Linked DNA regions of Mus musculus. The protein of the gene in region 2 interacts with the protein of the main gene of each other region in a pairwise test. Links are inferred from orthologs where the notes say so. Each region holds a gene or a part of one and is shown on either strand. Other genes may lie near its edges.

Region 1 (3,653 bases), on a different chromosome or scaffold from region 2:
TAAATCTTATAATTCTTCAATTTATAATCTTATAATCTTCAACTTTTCTCTCTTTTATTTTGAATTTTATGTGTTTCTTAGGGTTTCATTTCTGTGAAGAGACACCATAACCAAGGCAACTCTTTTTTTTTTTTTTTTTAAAGATTTATTTATTATTTATTTTATATATATAACTATACTGTAGCTGTCTTCAGATGCACCAGAAAAGGCCATCAGATCCCATTACAGATGGTTGTGAGCCACCATGTGGTTGCTGGGAATTGAACTCAGGACCTCTAGAAGAGTTGTCAGTGCTCTTAACCACTAAGCCATCTCTCCAGCCCCCAAGGCAACTCTTACAAAGGAAAACATTTGGGGCTGGCTAAAAGTTTCAGAGGTTTAGTCCATTATCGTCACGGCAGGAAGCCGAGAGGCATGTGGGCAGTGGTGCTAGAGAAGGAGCTGAGAGTTGTACATCTTGATCCAAGGGCAGCTAGGAAGAGGCTCTGATTGAGCCTAGGCTGGTGGAGCCTAGGCACGGGAGACCTCAAAGCTTACCCCCACAGTTACACACATCCTCCCACAAGACCACACCAACTTGATTAAGGCCACACCTCCTAATAGTGCCCCTTTTTGTAGGGCAAGCATTCAAACACACGAGCCTGTGGGGGCCAAACATACTACCACAATGTGTATGGGTATTATAGCCTGCCTGTGTTCCTGGTATCCACAGAGGATGGTCACCTGGAACTGGAGTTACAGACAGTCAGGAGCTACTATGAAAGTGCTAAAAACCGAACCCTAAGCATTCTTAGTCACTGAGCTGTCTCTTCGGCCCCTTTTCCTTTCTGTATGGAAATGGGAACTGACCACAGTGCTAAACATAGACGTGTGTTCTCTACTACTTATATATATATATATACCACGTGGATACCCCAAGATTTTTTAGTATAGTTTAGTTTGTTTGTTTTGTTTGTTTTTGTTTTAGACATTGTTTCCTATATAACCCAGGCTAGTTTTGAACTCACGATGTAGCCCAAAAGACCTCAAAATTGATGTGCCCCCCCCCCCCATCCTGTGTGTTTCTAAGATTCCAACAAATTCTACTGCATTCTGCTTTTCCTAACCTCCTAATAAGATCTGCCGGAGCCAGGCTTCTGTAGGAGGTTGGGGTGGGATAAGGCTTTGTCTCAACAAACAAATGACAACAACAAAAAAAATAAACTCCCGAATTGGACTGTATTAGTAATGTACTAGAAAGAGAAGAAGAAGAAAGCTGCCTTTGAAATGAGAAATAATCTAAGACATTGTATACAGAGCATGCTTGTCAGAAAGCCGAGACAAGGACAGAGCGCCTGTGGTTAGTGTGGAACCTGCTGAGGGGTCGTGGACAAACTAAGAATTTGACCTCCTGGAAGGTGACACGATCCTTAATCTGTGACACCTTTTATGTTTTCTCATAGGTTCACCCATTGCCACTGGCACGGGCACTCTTCTCCTGGTCCTGTTAGACGTCAATGACAACGCTCCCATCCCAGAACCTCGAAACATGCAGTTCTGCCAGAGGAACCCACAGCCTCATATCATCACCATCTTGGATCCAGACCTTCCCCCCAACACGTCCCCCTTTACTGCTGAGCTAACCCATGGGGCCAGCGTCAACTGGACCATTGAGTATAATGACGCAGGTGTGAAGGCTCGCTGTCTTTAGAGAGGCTCTGCCTGTCCCGCTTCACCCTTCCCTTTGATATCTGCCCCCGGTTCCTTCTGCATTCATGCACGCTCCTTTTCCTCGTATTGCGCGGTATTCCTCCAGCACTCGATGTCTCTGGTTCCCTAAACCCTTTGATTCACTGAGCTTTTTGCTCTGCCCCCTCTCCCGGTCTCATCGTTCCTGTTTTCCTTTCCCTAGCTCAAGAATCTCTCATTTTGCAACCAAGAAAGGACTTAGAGATTGGCGAATACAAAATCCATCTCAAGCTCGCGGATAACCAGAACAAAGACCAGGTGACCACGTTGGACGTCCATGTGTGTGACTGTGAAGGGACGGTCAACAACTGCATGAAGGCGGGAATCGTGGCAGCAGGATTGCAAGTTCCTGCCATCCTCGGAATCCTTGGAGGGATCCTCGCCCTGCTGAGTAAGTTCAGGTGGCAGGTGCTTCAGCCCGTGACCTCTAAAACCAGGAAGGGCCATCTCCTAGGAGGAGCTTTTATTTGGGGTACAGGGGGCGCAGGATCCTTCTGTTCTGTCTGTCTCTGCTCGCCTAGATTGAGTGCATGTCCTTCAGTAAGTGGGGCTTCAGACCCAGGATCCCTGATGAGGCTCCTCAGATGCTTCATTTTAAACCAGTCCCCAAGGAATGCTGTGCTGGCAGAGCCAGGTTTACGTATAGCTCGCTGTACTCGTTAGCACAGGCAAGGCTGGCAGCTACCATCACCTCCGCATTCCATCTTGGAGGGCAGATGAGAGGGGAAGTAGAGGCTGCCTACCTGCAGGTTGTAGATGTCAGCAGCACTCACATCTCATTGGCCCAAGTGTAGCCATGACAAATGACAAGGCATCCTGGAAGCTCCTGCTCTTAGCTGGGTGATGATGAGCCCATTTTCATTGCATGCTTGGGAGACAGTGGTATTGGATGGAGGGCTGAGTGAGCAGCGGATGGTGCCCATGGCTGAAAAGATGAAGGAGAGTGGAGATGCTTGGAGGGAATCTGTCATTTTTGTCCGTGGTCTTTGTTCTGATTTTACCTGTCCTGGGCTTGGTAAAATGCCATGAGGATTTCAATGATCAAAGATACGGGGTTTTGCTTATTGAGGATATACCTTGACTTTTTTTGTCGGGGGCAGTAGATAAAGCTGGGGAAATTCTCTTATTAGACATTGGAAGCAGAAGTGGTATCAGGAGCCAGATGTCAAACTTGTTTATCATTTTTGTTATATTGTTTTTTGAGAAATGATCTCATTTGGCTGGACATGAGATAGTCCTCGTTCAGGTGGCTACCCACCTGCCTGGTGGGGTGAGGCTGTGGCATTCCAGGACAGTGGCTTCCCCTGGTCTTTCCTGCGTGTGGCTCATCACTCTTCCCTGCCTTCCTTCCTTGTCTCCAGTTCTGATCCTGCTGCTCCTACTGTTTCTACGGAGGAGAACGGTGGTCAAAGAGCCCCTGCTGCCACCAGATGATGATACCCGGGACAATGTGTATTACTATGATGAAGAAGGAGGTGGAGAAGAAGACCAGGTGGGTTTTAAAGATGGAGAGCTTTAAGTCTGATTAAGGGGTGTTGGGTAGGCTATGTCAGTCATCACCCTGCTGTACTGCTATGGAGGACAGAACTCTGTGGTCACAAGAATTCAAGTTTCTTCCCCCAGACACTCTTGTGTTCTCTACACTGCTGGTTGATTACATTGAGACTCACAACATCTGTAAATCAGTGAGGGCCTTTCCCAACCAGGCAGCGTTGTGATGAAAGACTCTAAGCTGCAGCCTACGCTCGGGTCTGCTGCACGGGAGCCTCATGTGAGTTGCAGTAGGCATGCATTGCTGTCTTATTGCCTGAAGCCCCTCACATGCCAGAGCCCGTTTTTAACAGACAAGACACTACTTGTATCAGCTGTGACGGGGAGGACTAAGGATTTGCCAGGTGATTACCTGATAATCATGTCCCGAGAAA
Region 2 (3,653 bases):
GGAACAGATTGGGTCCAGGTTGGACTGCTCAAATGCAATGATGATTTGGAGTTGGGTGAGAGTCACCACTTATCCCCATGTAGTTCAGTCATTGTATCATAATGGAAGAGGCTCCAATGCACAAAAGGATTTATTATCAAGAACATGCTTCACAGACTGTGTTGGCTCAGCACAGTGGCATCTGGACCTATTGGAGAGATTTTGACCATGTAAGAACAAACTTTGGCCTGATACCTGGATAACAAGGTAGCGCTGTGGGTCTCGGGCCATTTTGGAGAATTCAAGAATCAACTCTCGGAACTTTGGGCGGCTATCAGCATCTATCATCCAGCCTGAGAAAGGAAGGAAGCCAAAGCAAAGCAATTAGAACCCTGGAAGAAATGACAAGGAGGGCATTGCTTTAAGTGATGCTGTGATCTTGCTAGGCAAATGGATAATGAAGGCACATAATCTTTGGGAGAGGCTTGGCACATGAGATAACACTGATTAGTTCTTGAAGTACATGAGAAGTTATTGTAATACCTTGTGGATTCATTCCCAGCCCTATAGAACAGTTTTCAGTCAGAGTAACAATAACATATACGGTAATGGTTTTACGTTTGTCCTTCCTTAGTCATCATTCTTGCATTATGATCTTCAGTGACCACAGGGTTTTACTGTGGGCAATCACTGCTGAACTACTCTGACTTTGGTATGCCTCTGTGCTTTCTTTGTCCTAATCCACAGCTTTCTAAGCTAGAAAATAGATTCAATTTACAGAAATGTCAAGGCCTTATTGCATTCTCCATTCAGTTACCATTCATGCAATTAACAAGGCTGAATCTGTGTATCATCAGTCAATCAATCAATCAATCAATCAACCAACCAACCAAGCAAACAAGCGATATATATCTGTCTATCTATCTACCATCTAACAATGTATCTATGCATCGATCAATGAATCGATGTATATGTGTATGCATGTATACATCCATCAATCTATGTATCAATTATTTACCAGTGCTGGGGACTGAACCTAGGGTGTCATAACTAGTATTTTCTGGGTAAAACTATATTTAGTAGTCACAGAGGTTCATTGCTTTACCAATGATCTAAAAATAGATCCAGCAATGGAGAGGATAAACTGTGCACTAGATACTTGTGCCTTTAGGGATTGGATTTATTTTTTCAACTGGTCATCAAGCTATTTTAGGCTAAACTGCTATGTGACCTTAGACAAATCATGCAACCTCTCTAGGCCTCAGCTTCCTCATCTGAAACCAAAGCAGTGAAAATAGATTAACTCCCTGGTCCAAAGTTCAGAGAATACATTGTTATTTATGATAAAGCAGCCTTGCTGGTTAGATTTCATCAACTGGAAATGAGCTAGAGACATCTGGGAAGAGAAAACTTTAGCTGAGAGAATGCTTCCAGTAGATTGGTCTGTGAGCAACATTCTGTTGATTAATGAGTTATGTGGGAGAGCCCAACCCACTGTGGGCGGTGCCATCCCTTGGCTCCTGTTTTTCTGTTGTCTAAGAAAGCAGGCTGAGTGAACCAGGAAGAGGAAGCCACAGGCAGAGTTCCTCCATCTTTGCTTCAGTTTCTGCCTCCAGCTTCCTGATTTGAGCTTTTTCCCTAGCATCCCTTGATGACAGACAGTAAGCTGTAAGCCAAAAAAAAGCCTTTCCTCCACAAGTTGCCTTTGGTCAGTGTTTTATCAGAGCAACAGAATGCAAACTAAGACCACTGCTCTGTCATATTCCTATGCTGTTTCTATGCCAATGCTATGACATGTGTACTATTACTTTCAGAGCACAATTACAGATTTGTGTGGAATACTAGCACTTATCAAAATGCACACTCCTGTCGGGATTAAGATGATTAACTGCTTTACTTCAGGAGGCCTTGCATAAATCCAGTTTGAAAGATTTAAGCCAAAGCAGAAACAAAGATTGTATCAAACTCCCATGGTTACTCATTGTTAGGCATTTTGAAACATTAAGTTTCTCTAGCAACAGGTCTCAAAATGTAATACAACTTTGTAAGTTCATTGAGCAACTCAGATCATAGAATATCTGGGAATAATGGCTTAGGAAAGACTTCAGTTTTAATTTATTTGCTTGCAAATTTGGGCAAATATGAGGTCAGGATGAGTCAAGCAAGTGATTCCTAAAGAATGCTTGCTGGAGGTGTTTATGATGTTTCTGGAACTGTGAGCCTGACTCGAAGACTGATGCTATTTCTTCGGGGAAATGAGGGCCTGGGCTATTTGTCTCAGAGCAATTACATCCTTCCAGGACCATCAACATGAGTGTGGATGCCCCCCCCCCCCCCAGTCACTCACACTTGACCATGATCATGTAGACATCGATGGTGCAGATAGGTGGCTGTGGAAGGCGCTCTCCTTTCTCTAGGATGGATGAGATGTCACTTGCTGGGATTCCATCATAAGGCTTGGACCCAAAGGTCATCAGTTCCCACACAGTGACACCTAGGCAGATAGAACAGGCAAAGAAAGTCATTGCATTGTGAGTTAATGCTTAACACACCACCTAATCCTTAGCCATTATTGTTAGTAAGTATTTTAAAACCTGTTTCTGTAGCCTTGAGCCACTGGTTTGAGGGGATTTACCTATCAAGTAAGATAATAGCATCTGTTTCATGGCATGGCTTCAAAGATGTAGTAAGATCTTATACAAAAAAGTTTAGCTAAATGTGAGGCATATAGTTGCTGACTGATAAGTGGAATAGTTATAACCTTAAAGACAAGGACAACTGTGGAGCCCGAGTTTGCTACAGAACAAGGTCTGCCTACGTGCACAGCTGTTCTGAGAACCTTATACTCAAGGTAGTGCAAGCAAGGACCTTACAAAGCAAGGCTGTAAACTGCAGACCATTTGATACATAACACTCTTTGCTCTGTAGCTAATACAATCTGATGCATCTGCCTCTGTGAGGGAAAATGTTCAGGGCAACCTGAATTTGCGTTCCTTGGTGATGACCACCCATGTCTGTTTCAGAATCAATTATCCCTTTCCCCCTTTGGGGTGAGAGTTGTGTTTTATAATCACACTGTTTGCTAACTTTTCCCTGAACTGCCTGGGGGAAATTCAAGGACCAAGTGCCTGACACAGGAACCAAGGACTTTGCTAGTTAGGCCACAATAGGCTCAAGATAAGCGAAGGACAAGCAAGGGAGGCTTGGCTAGAGTGGTCATCCTGGGAAGGTTAAGACATAGTCCTGTGCATGGCTGTGCTGTATTTAGACTAGCTGGGCCCTGGTAAGGTGGTCTTCCTTGGGAACAAGCAGTAACTACCTTCTCATTCTTACTTCCTCCCCACAGTTATCCTCATGGATCCCCTTGCCGAGCTCCTCTCTTTGACACAGAGAGATTAAATCAAGCACCACATGAAACAACAGTCTTGGCCATTTCATAAGAAAACATTTCTCTATCAGAAATGCTTCCCCCATGAAACCTCCTTTGCTGTCTTCCTTTGGTTCACATCAAGTTCACAGCAGGAGCTTTTGTTTGTTTGACCTCTTCAGGCAGAAGCTTAGCTCGCATTTGGGTCCTCTTCCCCCCACGACCTTCCCTGCAGCATGTGTTCATGGCTGTCCCTAGTGATACTTGGTGTGGTAGTTAAGCTTTATTTCCTTTGTCAGAGTCTCTT

Evidence for each region. The genes of interacting proteins can lie anywhere in the genome.
Region 1: the proteins of Egfr (region 2) and Cdh1 interact in binary tests that used the Homo sapiens proteins (3 or more experiments, as listed by UniProt). The link is inferred for Mus musculus from reciprocal best matches to the Homo sapiens genes EGFR and CDH1.

The regions. Positions count from the first base shown.
Region 1 is NC_000074.6:106,662,305-106,665,957, forward strand, and holds part of Cdh1 (cadherin-1 preproprotein), read left to right. Parts: intron 1-1,442; coding exon 1,443-1,667; intron 1,668-1,891; coding exon 1,892-2,119; intron 2,120-3,089; coding exon 3,090-3,220; intron 3,221-3,653.
Region 2 is NC_000077.6:16,905,556-16,909,208, reverse strand, and holds part of Egfr (epidermal growth factor receptor isoform 1 precursor), read right to left. Parts: intron 2,474-3,653; coding exon 2,327-2,473; intron 333-2,326; coding exon 235-332; intron 1-234. UniProt on the Homo sapiens protein: Receptor tyrosine kinase binding ligands of the EGF family and activating several signaling cascades to convert extracellular cues into appropriate cellular responses.